Drosophila melanogaster: one gene and its partners. The gene in region 1 interacts genetically with each later gene. Each region holds a gene or a part of one and is shown in the gene's direction. Other genes may lie near its edges.

The links. A genetic interaction does not mean that the proteins touch.
Region 2: of COX5A (region 1) and Prosbeta6, changing one suppresses a phenotype caused by changing the other (phenotypic suppression), as found in Drosophila melanogaster (one study listed by BioGRID).
Region 3: of COX5A (region 1) and Cul1, changing one suppresses a phenotype caused by changing the other (phenotypic suppression), as found in Drosophila melanogaster (one study listed by BioGRID).

What each region holds. Positions count from the first base shown.
Region 1 is NT_033777.3:11,815,944-11,821,842, forward strand, and holds COX5A (cytochrome c oxidase subunit 5A), read left to right. Parts: upstream 1-3,415; 5' UTR 3,416-3,459; exon of another isoform or gene 3,460-3,477; intron 3,478-3,604; 5' UTR 3,605-3,701; exon of another isoform or gene 3,702-3,767; 5' UTR 3,768-3,768; coding exon 3,769-4,218; 3' UTR 4,219-4,356; downstream 4,357-5,899. Other genes in the region: glo (glorund), read right to left, coding at 1-601, 669-814, 1,251-1,395, 2,063-2,194, 2,630-2,999; Kyat (kynurenine aminotransferase), read right to left, coding at 4,465-5,277, 5,337-5,876. UniProt on the Drosophila melanogaster protein: Component of the cytochrome c oxidase, the last enzyme in the mitochondrial electron transport chain which drives oxidative phosphorylation.
Region 2 is NT_037436.4:16,607,672-16,612,515, reverse strand, and holds Prosbeta6 (proteasome beta6 subunit), read left to right. Parts: upstream 1-2,097; 5' UTR 2,098-2,197; coding exon 2,198-2,286; intron 2,287-2,361; coding exon 2,362-2,980; 3' UTR 2,981-3,116; downstream 3,117-4,844. Other genes in the region: Su(P) (suppressor of ref(2)P sterility), read left to right, coding at 399-1,153, 1,218-1,624, 1,687-1,778; CG4098 (uncharacterized protein), read left to right, coding at 3,309-3,817, 3,874-4,288; Arts (artemis), read right to left, coding at 4,662-4,844. UniProt on the Drosophila melanogaster protein: Non-catalytic component of the proteasome, a multicatalytic proteinase complex which is characterized by its ability to cleave peptides with Arg, Phe, Tyr, Leu, and Glu adjacent to the leaving group at neutral or slightly basic pH.
Region 3 is NT_033778.4:7,914,489-7,923,307, forward strand, and holds Cul1 (cullin 1), read left to right. Parts: upstream 1-2,465; 5' UTR 2,466-2,620; intron 2,621-2,689; exon of another isoform or gene 2,690-2,846; intron 2,847-3,243; 5' UTR 3,244-3,475; coding exon 3,476-4,351; intron 4,352-4,412; coding exon 4,413-5,459; intron 5,460-5,515; coding exon 5,516-5,917; 3' UTR 5,918-6,485; coding exon of another isoform or gene 6,486-6,563; 3' UTR 6,564-6,626; coding exon of another isoform or gene 6,627-6,984; 3' UTR 6,985-7,091; downstream 7,092-8,819. Other genes in the region: CG30377 (uncharacterized protein), read left to right, coding at 1-72; CG12159 (uncharacterized protein), read right to left, coding at 877-1,033, 1,413-1,864; Or43b (odorant receptor 43b), read right to left, coding at 6,486-6,563, 6,627-6,984, 7,280-8,055; Kdm4A (lysine demethylase 4A), read right to left, coding at 8,749-8,819. UniProt on the Drosophila melanogaster protein: Core component of multiple SCF (SKP1-CUL1-F-box protein) E3 ubiquitin-protein ligase complexes which mediate the ubiquitination of proteins involved in cell cycle progression, signal transduction and transcription.

The sequences.
Region 1 (5,899 bases):
CCACCACCGCCCATTGAGTTGCCGCCGCCGAAGTTCGAGCCATTGTTGAATCCGCCGCCACCGCCGTTGTTGCCTCCTCCGAAGTTCGAGCCGACATTGTTGTTTCCTCCAAAGTTACCGAATCCAGAGTTTCCGAAATTTCCGTTGTTATTGTTGCGACCGCCGCCGATCGGGCCAAAGTTGCCAACACCACTCGAGGATACGAAGTTTCCGCCGTTATTGAAACCTCCTCCACCATTGCCGCCAAAATTGGAGCCGCCATTGTTGCCGAAATTATTAACGCCACCTGGAGAATTGAAGTTGTTGCCACTGTTGAAACCACCGCCGCCGTTGTTGTTGCCGCCGAAGTTTCCGCCTCCATTATTGCCGAAGTTTCCAAAGTTTCCGCTGTTACCACTGTCGTTTCCAAAGTTGCCGGAATTTCCACCGTTGTTGCCGCCACCAAAGTTGCCGAAATTGCTGGGTCCAGAGTTATTTCCAAAATTTCCATTATTTCCACCTTGGTTGTTTCCAAAGTTGCCCGAGTTCATCAGGCTTGGCAGATTGTTGAAGCCCAGCATGTTGTTGGCACCAACGCCAAAGTTGCCATTGTTGCCCCAATCTTTGTTTAACATCGGAATGGCAATCAGTGAAGTTTTATAAAATTTAACAATTAGATCTGAACATACCATTGCGCCCTCCGCCGAAATCATTGCCACCACGGTTGGCACCACGATCACGTATGTCATAAGGGCCAGGGCGTCCTCCGACACCGCCACCGGCGCCTGTGGCCCTCTTCATTTCAGCAATCGAGCTGCGGAATATCTCAATATACCTATGTGAATAAAAGTGGAAAATATATGTATTTTAAAAGTGGTACTTGAAATTGCTAGGGTCGGTGGCTTTTTTCCATGATCAACTATTAAATATCACGTAAAAAAATGAAATCAAAATAAATTCATTGAAATGATCAAATAAAATAAATAAAAATGCTGTTCACAGTTTAATTAATTTGTTAGATAAAGCACATGATCGCGCTTAAACATATATATGTATTTAGAGAGCCCCACCAGACCCGTAGCTATGGGAAAATTTTTTGCTAAATGATTTCTCAGTTACTGAAATAGAAATTATTTGTGATAAAAGTTATTAAATATTTTGTGAATAATTGTATAGTCCTTGTGTGTTTCAACAAGTTCGCAATCGATTACCACTTAATGTTTTAATTTCGCTGTTTTTGTTGTAGAAGATATGATGAATTAGAAACCCACCTGTGCCCAATTTTTTCCCGATTTCGGCCCAAGGCTTGCTCAGTGTCGTCCTGGCTTTCGAACTGAACAAAAGCTTCCCCAGTTGCACGACCCCTTCTGTCCATAACAAAAAGTATGCCCTCCCGATCCGTTTTGATATCCAACCCTGCCCATGACGATAACCAACAAAGATTTATACAAATATATAGATTTCATATATATATATACATTATGCAAGGTTAAGCTTAGATAGAAAAACAGAAATACAGAGGTTGATAAATGTTATTGTTTAGTTCCAACACCGCAGAACTTTTGCAGGTTCTCACGGTATTAGCAACGTTTGCATAAATAAACAGTGCCTTTTAGTCAAACTATGATCACCAGGCAAGATGCGACTGTTGCAATCGAGTTTCCCGGACCACAATGTATTACAAAACTCAGATCCTGTAACTCGTAGACATGTGTAGCTCAGTTGAAGGTTGTGAGTAATGATCGACCATATAACCAAGTAAACTGGGTTATGTGACCAACGAAGGAATGATTTATCGGACAAGCGGACGTGACCGCGTCAACTCTCAGCCGTTGACTTTGGAAGGAGCCGCGTGAACCGCCGAACCCATTACACAAATGCAAGGGCCTGCATTTCTTTGCCCGACAATATGTATGTACGTTGAAACGCATGTGTAATTGATATATGAAAGGTGTAGATGAAAGGGGACCGTAGGCCATATCTCAACGATGTGAACAAATAATACATGCGGTCAACCACTGTCTTTTTTCCTGGTACCTGGTACATATTAGTATGGAAAGAGGATTTGGGTCAGGAAACTTACCAGAGAAGAACTCCTCGATTTGCTGCTCAGTGACGGCATATGGCAGACCACGAAGCTTCACAACGAAGGCCGTGCCGTGTCCGCTGATCTTCCGCATGGCTTCCTTGGCCTCCTTGGGCGTGGCGGTAAAAACTAAAGAAATAAAAACCAATTACATCAGTTAAAACGGAAAAAAAACAAACAAGTTTTCTGCACCATTTTGTGTTTGTTATTAAGATAAGAATTAACATGAATACAGATTATAAATGGTGGTGTGAAATTTACTTTACTAAATTTTAGTTTACCTCGATAGAAGCAAGGATAAGAGTAACAATACAGTGACATATTTGTAAAACCTCCTTAATATTAGGTAAAATTCCACAATGAATGAAAAGAAAATAAGCGCTACCAGTATAAGTAGCAAAACAATGAAGAAATAAATCATCTTCGATTCCATGTATGGAATCAGAACAAGTTCAAGCTTGTTAAAAGGATAAACATATAAACAAAGTGAGAAGAAACTAACTATAACTGCCAAGATAGTCATCAGGTACAGTCATCCCCCACTCAAGTGGCAAATAAACAAACCTTCAATGTAGCGGTGACCCATGCTGGCCTTGTTCAGCTTGCGAGCCTCTTCGACGTCCTCCTGGCTGGCCACCTCCACGTACGCCTCGCCGGTGTTCTTGCCGTCGACCCGACTGGTGACCAGGTGAATGCCCGCCGAGCCATTAGTCACATTCACGTTTTCCAGAAAGTCGAGTATCTCCTTGTGCGTTGCGGACCAGGGCAGGCCGCGCAACCGAACGAATTTGGGGCTCTCGCCGACGTTTTCGATCTTGCCGCCGCCATCTTCGTTGTACTGGTCATCCTCATCCTGCTGCTGGTTGCTGTCGTCGTTGAAGTTGTCGCCATTTCCCTGCTGGCCGTAGTTAAATTGCACGTCTGCGTTGGACATTTTTCACCAGATCTCTACCTGCAAATGGTGTTACAACGATTAGTCACTGGTTAACTAGTTTTAATTGTTTTTTACTGGCTGAAAATGCGATTTTTTGAGCTAGTGATTCTCCACTCAGCAGCGACGCTTGTTTGGTGCGATTCTTTTTTGCACCGCGTACGCCATTTTGATTTCTTGTCACCCCTAATTGCTTATGACATTTTGCAAGTCTCGTACACAATATAAACGCTTCTAAATGTCACACCTGGTGGCGGAACAGAGAACTAACCGTATTCTGCTCTGTTTCAACTTCCAATATCGCCTTTTTTTAAACTTTATCGGTTAATTTGACTTATTTTTCAGAGAGATTAATCAAATAGCACGCGTCAAGTTGAAGATGCAGTGTGACCGCAATTAAATCATCAAAAAATACCGCCTGGCAGTAGCCAGCATCAATGTGGACCGTTGAAAAAGAAACAAGGTTTGATTTTGATTTTTTTTTTGCTTTTTTTGGGCAAGATAGAAGAAATTAAATATAAGGAAAATGATAAACTAACTGTGATCTTACCCGAATTTGAAATATACTGAAGCAGAAACATTTTAAATATCTCACTGTTCCGTGACAGCGACAGTTATAAACGTGTCCATCCCTGGAAAAGCCAGTGTTGCCAACCATCACTCAGATCTGTCATACCCGTGTGAAAAGTAGCAAGAACAAGAAAAGTGAGTCGAGCTGTTACTTAACCAAATTTTTGCAATTAACAAGCATTTTACTGTTTTTAACGGCAGCATGTTGAGCATCACGGCCCGTAACCTGGCAAGCGCCCTCCGCAGCAGCCTCGTCGGCACATCGTCGCGCGTGGCCGCCGTGCGCTGTCTGCACGGAACCGAGGAATCGGCGGAGGAGTTCGACAAGCGCTACGAGAAGTACTTCAGCCGTGAGGGCATCGATGGCTGGGAGATCCGCAAGGGCATGAACGATCTGCTGGGCATGGATCTGGTGCCCAGCCCCAAGATCATCGAGGCCGGTCTGCGTGCCAGCCGTCGCGTCAACGACATTGCACTGGCCATCAGGTGGCTGGAGGGATGCAAGGACAAGTGCGGCGACCAAAAGGCCACCCTCTATCCCTACTTGCTGGAGAAGATCACCCCCACACTGCAGGAGCTGGGCATCCCAACCATCGAGGAACTGGGCTACGACAAGCCCGAATTGGCCCTGAAGTCCGTGTACGATGCCTAAGCGGAGAACACTAGTTTAAAAACACAGAACACAATATACACGTTACAGCGACACTAGCTACCTACTATCCAATGTATGGTGCGGATGAACATGTTGTTGGATTGCTAATAAATGGAGATTGCAGTAAGGCTACCACACCAGCACAAGGTTGTTTTCCCTGTTGGTTACGTAACACCCAGGTTAGGGAACTGCATTCGGGCAGAGATAAACAAAGCGGCTGATAGCAATTCGTTTATTGTCCGGCGACTATTTCCATTTGGACAGCAGTTCGGCCGCCTTATCCAGGTTCTCTTGCTTCTTGATGAAGCAGTAGCGCACAAAGTCCTCCCCCAGATGTTTGTTGGGTTCGCTGTAGAAGGCACTTGGCGGTATGCCCTGCAAGCCCATGTTCTTGGTCATCCACTTGGTAAACTTGTAATCCCGATGCTTGTCTGGCTCAGAGCTTAGATCAATCTTGCCCGCCAGTGGTGACCAGTCTGCCAGCATAAAGTAGCCACCCTCAGGAATGGTGGGACGCATACCGGATTCGGACAGGAACTTGGCCATGAAGTCACGCTTCTGCTTCAGCTCGCGCGGCAGGCTAAGGAAGTAGCTCTCCGGCTGACCCAAACGGGCCAGTTCTACCTCGAAACTGCGTGCGACGCCCTCCTGGAGCGGCGTTGGACAGGTGTACACAGAGTTCTGATGCACCATCTGCAGGTTTCGAATCAGTTCAGCGGGTCCGTAGGCCCAGCCTATTTTCCAACCAGTTACTGAGAAGGTCTTGCCCGCTGATCCCAGAGTAATGGTGCGATCCCACATGCCCGGCAGCGTGCAGATACGGATGTGCTCGGCTCCGTCGAACACCAACCACTCATACACCTCGTCCGAGACGCACAGCACATTCCACTTGCGGCAGAGCTCGGCTATCCTCTCTAGCTCTTTCCGGTTGAAGACCTTTCCAATAGGGTTGTGGGGCGTGTTTAGGATAATCATCTTTGTTTTAGAGTTGAACAGACTCTCGAACTCAGCGTCATCTAGCACCCAATCGGCAGAGCTTATTGGTCCCTCTGTCTTGCGCTAGAAGTTAGACATGTTAAAAAGAGGGATATATTTTTTTTTTCTATTGTGGTTCTTACCAATTTTAGGGGAACAAAGCGGGGCACTCCACCGGCCATCTTGACCATAGGCTCGTAGCAATCAAAGAATGGTTCAATAATGATCACCTCGTCGCCCACGTCCACATGGCCCATGATGGTGGAGTAGAGAGCCTCATAGGCGCCTGAGGTAATCAGTATGTCGCTGAGGGGATTTAGCTCCTTGCCGACGAGACCGCTATAGAGCTTGGATAGCGCATTGACCAGGCGAACGTGACCGTAACCGCGAGTGTACTGATGCAGAAGAGGATTCTGCTCCTTGGCAATGTCGGCCAACGAGTGGGTCACGTACTCGGGAGCGGCATCATCGGGAAATCCCTGTCCCAAGTTCAGGGGCTTATATTGCATGGCCAGGGCAATGTACTCGTTCCAGACGCTGGGCGTGCTACCCTGCAATCGCTTGGGCAGATCGAATTTCTCCATTTTAATGGCAGTCTGCTGGTGACGAAGGGCTTGCAACTGGAACTGCTCGCGAAGGCTCCTCTTAGCGGCGGAGAGGGTTAACTGACAGCTGCGTAGCATCTGTAAAAAGGTGACTTTAGTGA
Region 2 (4,844 bases), on another chromosome or scaffold:
CTACAAAAAGTTTGTTTTTTGTATTGGGTAGAGATGGTACCCTGAACCAACAGTTCAGGTGGAAACTATCGATAACTTTTTTAGGTCAAAGTTTTAAGGTTGTTAGCTCATTAACGGCAAGTATTTAAAGGCTTGCACAAAATCTTCGCTTGATTTTATTTAAATTCAATTACCTGGATTATTAAATACATTTTATAAAGTTTAACACTAGTGAAATAAATATCCCATCCCCAACACATTCTTCAGGGTTACCGTTTAAGGTATGTTCAAAACTTTATGGTATATTCCGGAGCCCTACAAAAGTCTTGGTATTTTTTCACACTGGTCTCATAGTCGCGGCTGATAAGTCGCTAATTTTTGCATAATATTAAGTATAAGTCAAAACAAACGTGCGAATTATGTCATGTATTCGGCTAGCGTCTGCCACCGTTCTGGCAGGGGTCCGTCCCCCGCCGGCAGCAAGCGGAGGTGGAGCCTTGCGCCTGTTGACTAAACGGAATCCGGATGCTGCATTCGCACGCCGCCAGTTTGCTGTAGCGGTTGAAAACGGCGGAGGCAGAAAGAAGCCGAATGGAACTTTCAAGCTCGCAGTTTTGGGGGCCACCGTAGGCGCGGCCACCGGATCGGTGTATACGATGTACCAGCGGTGGACAGACGGCAGCTCGCACAAAGAGCACGAGGAGACGAAGCCGACGCGGCTGGACGGGATTCCGGCTGGAGTGCGGATAACCAAGCGCTATGTCAACCCCAAGGACACGTCCGGTTTGGACATTGTGCTGTTCCAGTTCCAGACGTGTCCCTTCTGTTGCAAGGTGCGCGCTTTCCTCGACTACATGGGCATATCCTATGCGGTGGTCGAAGTGGATGCCGTCCTACGGCAGGACATCCGCTGGTCGTCGGTGAAGAAGGTGCCGATGGTGCTCATCCGACAGCAGGACGGCAAATACGTCCAGATGGTGGACTCAAGTGCCATCATATCCCTTATAGCCACCCACCTGCAGGACAAGCGCACCGACATCGGCGAGCTGGCACAGTTCTATCCGCACACCTCCTTCTTCGACGATGATGGCAAAAAGAAGAACGACATATTGAATAAATACTTCCTCATGTACCGCGAGCATACGCCCAAGGGAGTATCCAAGGAAACGGATGAGTAAGTTAACCAGGGTCAAGTAATCTTTTAATCAAATCTTTTAACCTTGAGTGTCTGTTCTTAGAACCGATCGCAAGTGGAGAAGCTGGGCCGACAGCCACTTGGTGCATCTAATATCGCCCAACTGTTATCAGACCATGGGCGAGTCCCTAGAGACTTTTGAGTGGTTCTCGCAAGCTGGCGAGTGGGACGTTCACTTCCCCAAATGGGAGCGCGACCTGATGGTTTACTGTGGTGCCACCGCCATGTGGGCCATAGCCAAGATGCTGAAGCGCCGTCACGCCCTCAGCGACGACGTCAGGTCGCACATGTACGATGCCCTTGACCAGTGGACCACTGAGCTGAAAAAGAGGAACACGAAATTCATGGGCGGAAAACAGCCAAGTCTGGCTGATCTATCGGTTTTCGGCGTGCTTTCAAGCATGGAGGGGTGTCAGACGTTCAAGGATTGTCTGCAAAACACCAGCATCGGTAAATAAGGTTTCTTTCTCGGGTTTTGTACCTTTTTACGAACTTTTTACATATTTCCGCAGGTAAATGGTTTTATGACGTCAAGGCGTTGGTGGAGAAGAATCGTGGGCAGTTGCAAAGAGAACGTATTGAAAACATGGCCGCTATAGCTTAAAACAAATATTTGCCCTTATTTTATCCAAAGATTGTTGAAAATAACCGAAATGTTCATTAAAATATACATTTTAATCAAATCTAGTTTGCCGTTTCGTTTATGGTATCTGAATGTATATATTTGGTCAAAAACGCGTAAGGAGTGCAAGTTTATGGTACAAATTGGAATTAATTTTAGGTTTTATATTGTTATTTTATTTATATGTTAAATTAAAAATGTTTACTAAATAAATACCTCCTGCTAATAAAAATATCCCAAACCGACGTATGTATACCTATCGATAACGTTTAAGCAGGCTGGATCCGATGCTCAACAACGGTCACATTGATTTTGTGATTTTGGTTAGCCGCTTGCAAACTTGCAAATCATTTCGTTGGTTTTTTACTTGGCGAGTTAATTGGTGAATTTCAGCACAAAACATGAGCAGATTGGGCTTTGAGCAATTCCCGGACTACCAGGTGCCCGGCATGAAGCATCCTGATTTCTCGCCCTACGAGTCCAATGGCGGGTGAGTTGCTATTTCCCAGCGGAATCGAGATGTGGAAGAATGTCTCCATCTAACCGGAGTCTTCCCTGTTTACAGCTCCATTGTGGCCATCGCCGGAGATGACTTTGCCGTAATTGCAGCGGACACCCGCCTGAGCAGCGGCTACAACATTCACTCGCGAACGCAGAGTAAACTCTTTAAACTCTCGCCCCAGACAGTGTTGGGTTCCGCAGGCTGCTGGGCGGACACGCTCTCGTTGACCGGATCGATTAAGGTGCGCATGCAGAGCTACGAGCATACCCATCTGCGCACCATGACCACTGAGGCCGTGGCCCAGATGCTCTCCATCGCCATGTACAATCGCCGCTTCTTCCCGTACTACGTGTCGAACATTCTGGCTGGAATTGACAACGAGGGCAAGGGCGTCGTCTACTCCTACGATCCCATCGGTCACTGCGAGAAGGCTACATACCGCGCCGGCGGCACTGCCGGCACCCTGCTGCAACCGGTGCTGGACAACCAGATTGGTCACAAGAACATGAATTTGGAAGACGCCGACAAGATCAAGTTAACCAAGGAGCGGGCCGTGAGCGTTGCCTCCGACACCTTCATCTCTGCCGCTGAGCGCGACATCTACACCGGCGACTCTGTGCTGATCAACATCATAACCAAAGATGGAATTGAAGTACGAACTCTGACGCTGCGTCAGGACTAGCCTGTGGCGAGGATGTTGCCGTTTCTTTTGGTTAGGGGCATTCGGTGGAAACCAGGCATTCTAAGTTAGTTGGCTTCAAATTTTTGTATTTACCCAAAACAACAAAACATCGTAATAAACCGAATCTTTGAGATTTAAAATATGCGGCCTAGTGTGACCAGCTGGTCCTAGAAATAAATCGTTCCCAAGCAGTGCTCACAGAAGAGGCTGTGCGAATAGTACAGCTTTCCCCGTACCAACAAATCCATTTTGCTAGCTAAGTTTGTGCCCGCTGGTGTGCGTTAACAAAATCATTTCTTAGTGTTCGTCTCTCAGAGAATTCAGTCCAATGACGAGTTTCGAGTTTGCACTGCTGCCGCTTCTGTTTTTGCCACTGATCCTGGAAAACCCGCTAACCTCCGCCCAAATGATGTCATCGCTGGTGAAGCCGGGCATTTTCCGGCACCTAATGTGCCGCAACAACATGTATCCGCGCAGCTCAGTCCTCCGGTACCCAGTTTCCGACGAACAGGTCTTCTGGTCGGAGCCGTTCCCGGACTACTGCCCGCCTGCGTACACGGCGCCACATATTGGCGGGCAGGTGTGGGCTGATCCGCCGTTGCCCAGCGACACATTCTGGCCACAGTGGAATCAGCTGGATGGACAGGTAAACCGCGAATCCTTTCACGGTGCCTACAACGTGCAGAATGGACTGCCCCTAAATCCGATCGGGCGTACCGGACTAACCGGACGTGGTTCGCTAGGCAGATGGGGTCCAAATCATGCCGCAGATCCAATCGTCACGCGCTGGAAGCGTGACGACCAAGGAGCAATTGTGGCCAACCCGACAACCGGCAAGTAAGTTGGCCCAATAGCCCATTAACTGTGATGACATCACTTCCTCTTTCCTGCAGGAATATCATACAGATGGTTGCCATACAGCGGTCCGACAACAAGTTGTGGGCCATTCCCGGTGGAATGGTCGATCCCGGCGAGAATGTCAGTGTCACCCTTAAGCGGGAGTTCACCGAGGAGGCATTGAATTTCACGGACAAAGCCAACATGGTTGAGCGATTTTTTCAAGCGGGAGGCGTTCAGGTATACCAAGGCTACGTAGACGATTTTCGAAACACGGACAACGCTTGGATGGAAACCACTGCGCTGAACTTCCACGATGAAGACGGGAGCCAGGTGGGACAATTGGAGCTAATGGCCGGTGACGATGCCTCCAATGTGCGCTGGACGGACGTCGACTCGAATCTCAAGCTGCACGCCAATCATGCCGACATAGTCCGTGAGGTTGTCATCCGACGAAATGCACACTGGTAGAAACTAGACTGAAACTATAAGAGTTAAGATCAACTGCCTAATGGTTGAAGAAAAACCAATTTTAAATAATAACATAGCCTTCAATGAAACAAGTAATCCCTATATTATTTCAATGCATATTAATGTCTCACTGGATGTGGTTATAAGTTAGAAAACATTTTCCTCCGTTTTTTGGCGCGTAGAAACCTTCATCTTGCCCTTTTAAAGATCGCTCATCTTGAATGATTTAACTCCACAGAAGCACAACTGAAATTTAAGACTATTTCGAAAGTATTCGTATAAAAAGCTTGCATCACTTCCAATAAATGAATCTGCGGGCGGAGGACGTTGGGTGTTCTGAGCTGTTTGGTGGTTTTCACACGGATATGTGGGCTTACAGGGCTTGCACATAATTGAACACTTCTGGATTCATGTTCGATACTTTGCTGAACAGTTCCGGGTAGTTGGCGCGAATCTCTTTGATGAGGGCCACCGCGCTCTCGGTTGTCTCGACGTCAGGCATCTGTTTCTTGTAACTCGCCTCTATGGTGATGGCCAGGATTTGCTCAAGATGTGC
Region 3 (8,819 bases), on another chromosome or scaffold:
TTCCTGCTGACTGTGATGGTGGTCAGCCTGGTTCTGACGCGCGGCAAACGGATGTTTGGCAGCATGATTTGATTTCGGGAATTCCCATCGGGGATGCCGATCGCCGACCCACGCCGTTGGCTATGTAGCCACACCAGTTAGCTCCTAGATCCGACTCTGGTAGGTCGGGAGAATGGAAAATGGCTCGGCGGAATATTACAAACTACAGTGCCAACTACAAATGTAAAACGTTAGCGAAGCTCAAGTTTAGTGTTAGCGGTAGTCGTAAGCTCCTGTGGTATTTCTTGGCAGGGCAGGGCCGCCACAGCCACAGCCGCAGTCGCAGTATTGTTAATAAATTATTTATGTGATCCTAGTTAATAAGTACAAGTTAGTGCATTTGTTTCCGTGCGTACGCGTATACTGCCTGTATCCAGCCTATGTATATCCTTTGTCACAGCTATCCATAAGCCCATTAACCTGTATTAAGTCTACGTTTGTAACCAATTATAGCTAGATTCGTCCTGTGAAAGTGTGAAGAATAAAGAGAGAAGCGAGTACATGTAATATAACATTTATTTATATGGAACATCGACGCAGAGGCGATTTGAAAGCATTGGTATTTATGAGATTTTTAATGCCTTGCATACATATCATCGTAATCGTTATCACAAGTGGTTTTGTTTTCCTTTTTGATTCGTTAAACCTGAACCAACTGCGAGTAGGAGAAATGCAGAGAACTTAGTTATTAGTGGGCTTAGTCGGCTATTGGCTGGCAGCTACAGCTCAAATCTACAAAGCATTAAATAGCTACGAAACAAGGCAAGTTCTGATGAGAAGTGTCGGAAATGGCGGTGCGACCAAACGGATCTTTGGCGTGTGCATGTGTCTGCTATTTCATAATATGCGTATGTTCTGGCGATTGACCTCGAACAGGGTGTGGTCCTCTTCGTCACTATTCACGTCCTCGATGGCCATGGGCAGTGGTGTCAGCTCCTGGTTGGCGCGGTCGCCCTGCACGCCGTACTTGCGCTCCGCCCGGGAAAGTCGGAGCCTGCAATGATTTGCGATTCGATTAGTCTTATCACCAAAAATTGCTAGTATAATAACTTAATAATGTAGGTATGTATGTATAAAGTAAAATTCAGTATATATAGGTAGTCTGTTTTGCATATAGTCCACCGATAAGAATATTTAAAGCTACATATTTAAACATTACGCTTAGTTTTAAATTAGTATTCTAACAATATTTACTGGAAATTTTAATTTCAAGGCACGATAAAGGATCGCTGTAAACTTTTGAAATCCTTAAAAATCTATTCTTTGCTGTTTTACCTTTGCATTACAAAATAATAAGGAAGACTTTGAAATAACCTTTCATGCTTTTCTGGACTCTAGTCTAGAGCTCTAGGATATGTCCTTCATTAACTCACCTATAAACCCTCATAATAAGCAGCAGTATTGCAGTACTGGTGATTCCCACGAGGATGTAGACAACAGCCTGGCCCGGAAAGTCCACATCGGGGGACATGGGAGAGCGTTCAACATGAACATCATCCACGGGAAGACCTCCCGGAGGCTGCACCATTTCCGGTGCCTTGGCATCTCCTGGTGAAACTTGTGTGGCAACCGAAGCACCTGGAGCAACCGGAGCAGGTCCGCCATCGTCTACGACCACCATAGAATCCTTTGGTCCTGCCGGAGGATTCTCTGCTTGCGATTTCTTCACGACTGGCTTTTTGGCCTCCACCTCAGCAGCCGGCGCACTCTGCTCCGCAATTACCACCGTCTTTTGGGGCGTCTGGGTGGCTGCGTCACAGGATTGCTGGTGGAAGAACAGCAGCAGCAGTGCTGCAGCCACTAAGCAGAAGCAGCGACAGGACATCTTTTCGTATCCAACTATCAAAATTACTAAATATAGCCGCTTCTAAGCATAAACAATGACCTTTTAAATTTCTTTGCTGCACTGTTTTTGTTTTGCTTGGCGTCAGAGTTGCCGCACATGTCAAAGCAAACGAATCGAAATTGAAGTAAATGCGTATGCCTTCTATACACGGTCACATTGGTTTGAGTCCTGGAGGAGTTGTGTTTCGTACGGGCATTAGGGTGAACCTGTATAAGACTATATAAGCATACCCTAATTATTTGAAAAGGGTTTTATTATGCAAGTGCTAAGACCAATCGTTTTATATAAAGTATAGATTGTTCTCAAGTTCCAGGAAGTGTGCCCAGGAAAATGACATCTATAAGAAGGTTTCTGTAACCGCTAACGGATTTGTAAAATCTAAGATACGAACCGCGTTGCCGATATTTTACATCACGCTTTGAAGAGCCTAACAGCGATATTTGATATTATAAACTATAATATAACTGCTTTCCGTGTAAAGAATTCCCTGAAAAATGAGATCGCCACCAATAGTGGCGCCCAATAAATAGATCGCCAACGATAGCTGGTCTTAAGCGATACCACCGTCGAGGGCCTTGCAGCGCAATGGCCGAACGGTCACACATTTTAATAGTTAGGAATAAACGAAAGTTAGCAATTTTCACAGAAAAAAAAAATTAATTTAATTATAAGCAAAGCAGTGAAACACAATTTTAATTTAGTTTTAGTTTTAATTTTAGCAGCGTCTGGCAACAGGTAATATAAAGCAAAATGAGGGAAATGCAAAGAGACGGGATTTCGTGCTTTGAAAATGGCGAACAAAAGAGAAAAAGTGTGTGTGCTCCAAGGGGAAATCAAATCCATCACGACGTCACGAAAAGAAAACTCAGTCGCACGGCTCAATTTACCAGGAAAATAAATTTCGTTTGGAGGGAGCTATGTGAAAAATCGAAAAAAATGTTAACAATTTAGTTGTGAAATGGTTATGTCCGCTATCTTTTCTCTTGGCTTTATGTGCCTTTGTGTGGGTGCGGGTGTGTGTGTGAAGGCGAGGGCGACTGCATATGTGTGCATGCGAGTGTTTATTTAACCAGGAAGTTGGGTTTTCGAACACGATCTAACGATAGCGGGGGCGGTGGTGGGGCTTCACCTGCCATGCGATTGGCCAATACCCTACATTGCAGGGCATGTCCGACCACCGCGCATTGCATTACAGCTTGTGCGTGCATGTGTGTGTGTGTGTGTATTCCGCAAGCCTCTCTTTTATTGCTGTGACATTGGATCATAATAGGCGACCTTCGGGTCGTCGCTTTTAACGTGGCGAGGCCTACTACATTCCCAATCCCATTCCGTTTTTGTACCGATTCTCTCATCTGCAGATTGACACTTTAAATTCCAAAATTGGAACACCGATTCGCCAAGATTCCGGCCACAACTCCAAGGACGAGAGCCGCGAAACGACGCCACCTGGAAAGCAGCAGCAATCCCCTGTCGCCCGCGCAGCATTCGCCACCTAGGGTCATTGCCTTCTCCAGCCCAGCGCCACTGCAGGGACAGCATCCTCCAGTGGAAGAAGGCAGAAGGCCGTTGCCACAACCCACCGCCGCCAGAATGAACCGCTCCGGCAATTCCCAGACCACACAGAAACTCGTCAACCTGGACGATATCTGGAGCGAATTGGTCGAGGGCATTATGCAGGTGTTTGAGCACGAGAAGTCCCTCACCCGCAGCCAGTACATGCGTTTCTACACTCACGTCTATGACTACTGCACCAGCGTGAGCGCGGCTCCAAGCGGACGGAGCAGCGGAAAGACAGGCGGAGCGCAGCTGGTGGGCAAGAAGCTGTACGACCGGCTGGAACAATTTCTCAAGTCATACCTGAGCGAGCTGCTCACCAAGTTCAAGGCCATCAGCGGCGAGGAGGTACTCCTGTCGCGCTACACCAAACAGTGGAAGTCGTATCAGTTCTCCAGTACCGTTCTGGACGGCATCTGCAACTACCTGAATCGGAACTGGGTGAAGCGCGAGTGCGAGGAGGGGCAGAAGGGTATCTACAAGATCTACCGACTGGCCCTCGTCGCCTGGAAGGGACATTTGTTCCAAGTGCTAAATGAGCCGGTCACCAAGGCAGTGCTCAAGTCCATTGAGGAGGAGCGTCAAGGCAAGCTCATTAACCGGTCGCTGGTCCGCGACGTTATCGAGTGCTACGTGGAGCTCAGCTTTAACGAGGAGGATACCGATGCCGAGCAGCAGAAGTTATCCGTCTACAAGCAAAACTTTGAAAACAAGTTCATCGCAGACACATCAGCCTTCTACGAGAAGGAGTCGGACGCCTTTCTGTCCACCAACACGGTCACCGAGTATCTGAAGCACGTCGAAAACAGGCTGGAGGAGGAGACGCAGCGCGTCCGCGGCTTTAATTCAAAGAACGGTCTTTCCTATCTGCACGAGACCACAGCGGATGTGCTGAAGTCCACATGCGAAGAGGTGGGATTGCCTACCGTGTCCAACTTTAAAGCCGCCTACTAACCGAATCAATGTCTTTCAGGTTCTTATCGAAAAACATCTGAAAATCTTTCACACCGAGTTTCAGAATCTGCTCAACGCAGACCGAAACGATGATCTGAAACGGATGTACTCCTTGGTCGCCCTCTCGTCCAAAAACCTGACAGATCTCAAGTCCATCCTTGAGAACCATATACTCCACCAGGGCACGGAGGCCATTGCCAAGTGTTGCACTACCGACGCGGCCAACGATCCCAAGACGTACGTACAGACCATCCTGGACGTGCACAAGAAGTACAACGCCCTCGTTCTGACGGCGTTCAACAATGACAACGGATTTGTGGCCGCTTTGGACAAGGCGTGTGGAAAGTTCATAAACTCGAACGTGGTCACGATCGCAAACAGTGCTAGCAAGTCGCCCGAATTGCTGGCCAAGTACTGCGATCTGTTATTAAAAAAATCCTCGAAAAATCCCGAGGACAAGGAGCTCGAGGACAATCTTAACCAGGTGATGGTCGTGTTCAAGTATATCGAGGATAAGGACGTCTTCCAAAAATATTACTCCAAGATGCTTGCTAAGCGCTTGGTTAACCACACATCGGCTTCGGATGACGCCGAGGCTATGATGATCTCCAAACTGAAGCAGACATGTGGTTACGAATACACCGTCAAGCTTCAGAGGATGTTCCAGGACATTGGCGTCTCAAAGGACTTGAACTCGTACTTTAAGCAGTACCTGGCCGAAAAGAACTTGACCATGGAAATAGACTTTGGCATCGAAGTCCTGTCCTCAGGCTCTTGGCCTTTCCAGCTGAGCAACAACTTCCTGCTACCATCTGAGCTGGAGCGGTCAGTGCGACAGTTCAATGAGTTCTACGCCGCCCGCCACTCTGGCCGCAAGCTCAACTGGTTGTATCAGATGTGCAAGGGCGAACTGATAATGAACGTCAACCGCAATAATTCCTCCACCTACACCCTGCAGGCCAGCACCTTCCAAATGTCAGTGCTGCTCCAGTTTAACGATCAGCTCAGTTTTACAGTCCAGCAACTGCAGGACAACACACAGACGCAGCAGGAGAACTTGATTCAGGTGAGAGTAGTGTCAATAGATAGAATTAATAGAGACTTATGTAAGAATTTCTTCAGGTATTGCAAATACTGCTCAAGGCGAAGGTGCTGACCTCCAGCGACAATGAGAACTCGCTGACGCCAGAGTCGACGGTGGAGCTGTTCCTCGATTACAAAAACAAGAAGCGCCGAATTAACATCAACCAGCCTTTGAAGACTGAACTTAAAGTGGAGCAGGAGACTGTACATAAGCACATAGAGGAGGACCGAAAATTACTGATCCAGGCGGCGATCGTCCGCATCATGAAGATGCGCAAACGACTCAACCACACCAATCTCATATCGGAGGTGCTTAATCAGCTGTCAACGCGCTTTAAGCCTAAGGTGCCCGTGATCAAGAAGTGCATAGACATCCTGATCGAGAAGGAGTATCTAGAGCGAATGGAGGGACACAAAGACACATATAGTTATCTCGCCTAAGTTTTTGTTAAATGAACAACTTTCGCTGTTTCATCTATGCCAGCCATTAAAAATATCATCAATAAACTTAGATTCGTGTCGACCCTCCGCTACCCTTCCTCCTAGCCCGAAATAAACTGCCGCCGAAACATTCGAACTAGAAGCGAGCTAAAAATACTCCATGCTTCGCATAAAATGTGCAATTCTCGCCAACGCGTCACTAACTCCATCTTCCGACACCCAGCACCTCATTCAAAGAAAAGGCCAGTCGCAGGGATCAAGTGAACCTATTGACCAGATCACAGCCGATGAATCCGGCCTCTGTAGGAACATATTCCAATTGCCGAGGACAAGGTTCCAGGTTCCCAGCCTACAAATAGACTTCTGCAGGGGCTGTACGGTATACATATGTAGCGATTTTCTTTACTTCCCATTGTTCGATCAATATTTGTTTTAACTAGATTATGTTTATTCATAATTCGCTGTATGCATATACAATTATTATAATTCTACGAAGCAAAAAAGTGTTAAGTTCATAAAACTATGTACGTTTACCTCTGGTGCGGTCAATTGTATTGAGTATTCCTTTCTATTCCTTAATGCTTAACTTTTGGTCCAGGTTCATACCGCTCGCGATGGCGTACACGGTGAAGGCGAACTTGGCTACCTGCAAGGATTGAAGTTCGGACTTTGCTTCCTTCCCCGTTCTAACCGAGAGCAGTGGACTTACATTGATGTTAGTGGCCAAATTAATGTTAAATATGTTCATGGCGGTGAAGGTCATGGGCTGCTGCAGTTTCTGCAGGAACTGGATGACAGTCCGCTGGTATCGCTTGTCCTGCACCCACCAGGCGGAATGGAAAAGTGCGTGGGCCAGTTCTTTGCAGTCGTCCACGATGGCGTTGCAGTAGAAGCAAAGCGGAAAAGTCTGCAGAAGGACGGCCATAACGTAGATGACTATGCCGAATCGGGTCGATTGATCAGCGAACAATACCATGTTGATCATAATTATGCCCAGGATCGATCCGCATATGATGAATTGGGCAAATATCGTGCCAGAGATGATTGGTTGAATGGCATCACAAAAACTGCATGGGAAACAGTGGGATGGGTTTTTAACATTGAAAATTTAAATTAATGCATATATTTTAAAAAATGTAAGCTAATTTATTTGAAATAAAATAGTTTTATGTCGAATCGTTTGATATACCATTTATTTTATCCTGAATGTAAAAATATACTCTTATATATTCAGAAATATCAATAGCGAGTTCTTATAAAAGTTGTACTTTTATTCAGTTTTCCGAATAAATTCAGATCCGTTGAGTGAAAACATAATTCACGGTTGTTGATATTTCCGGTAGGATAATGAAACTGACTTACTTTAGCATGGTTCTGTGTGCCTTGATACAATCCACCAACGATTTAAACATGTAGCTCGGGTCGCTGCTACCCTCGTTGCTGGGATCGCCCAAGTAAATGATACGGTCCTTGAGCAAGAGAATATGAGTTCGCAGGGCTGCCACGTAAATCACAGGGTAGGAATCGGTGGCGGTGGCCACATATATGGCATAACCCACGGTGAAGTACTCCAGAAAACTCTGGATGTACATCTGGGTCCGATCGACTCGCCAGTTTATGAACGGATAGTACGTATTGTAGGGAACACGGTGGTGCAGTAGTCCGTCCAGTAGCGTGGAGGTGGCGTAGAGGACGTAGACCACGACGAAGGTCAGGTACAGTCTTGTAATAGTGGCCACCATGTCGCGAACCTTGCGCTTCTCCGCCGGCTTCACGCAGTACTTATCCAATTCGTCAAAGTGCTTGTTGGCCAGCTCCAAGCGGTGCGTATAGACGATCAGAGTGAAGAACTTCAGAGCGAAGCACCAAGTGTTGAGGCACAGTTGCAGGGATTGCAGCAGCAGCTCCGGCGGGAACTCCGCCAGATGTATCACATAGTTGATTGGGAAACTTACGGGAAGTATCACCATATTGTAGGTGAACGAAAACACCCTCCAAATCTTGCGGCCTATACCGAAATCGTTCTTCAAATTCAAGCCCGAATTTCGCAGCGTCTCCATCATGTATGCATTCGAATCCCTAGACTGTATGGGCTCCGATATAGGAGCCGGATAGACGAGCTTAAAGTGTCCGAACATCTAAAGTTTCGAATGTTTAAGGCTATAATATAACTGGCGATAGGAGGAGCTCGGAATGCTTTTATAGTCCGCGATTTGTAGTTCTTAATTAATGTTTGCCAATTTAGTAGGCGTTCCTCTTTTGGTTGCAAAGAATTTTACACATGTGATAACATATCAAATTATTAAACCATATTTCTGTGTGATTATAGACATTGGCCTTTAGGGTGTTTTTTTTTTAAATGATTTTTTCTGATAGTTCCTTAAAAATGGTTGCCAATTTAGTGGGCGTTTCTCTTTTGGTTGCAAAGAATTTTACACATGTCATAACATATCAAATTATTAAACGATATATCTGTGTGATTATAGACATTGGCCTTTAGGGTGTTCTTTAAAAAATGATTTTGGCATTTTCAGATTTAAATTGTGTTGCAATACTTCTTTCGGTGGGAACAGACACTTGTTAAATTAAAATGTGAACGGACAAATTCAGTCTGCCCTACAGCTACAGCTTAAAGATTTACATATTTGTTTGCACGAATTTGCTTGTCTTCTAAATTATACACACATATCTTCTTAGTTATGTCGTCATGTCCTCTTAAAATGTATAAAAATTTACCAAAGAATATCACTACTAGATCTTTGATTGCTGCGGCGCGAAAATCTAACAAGGAGATCAAAAACTGCCAGCAAGCAGTGCCACATCTGGAATCCTCAATCCTCGTCGTCAAGTGTGAGTACTTTTGTCTGGAAGCGCATTCGTTTGGTATTCTTTACTACACCGT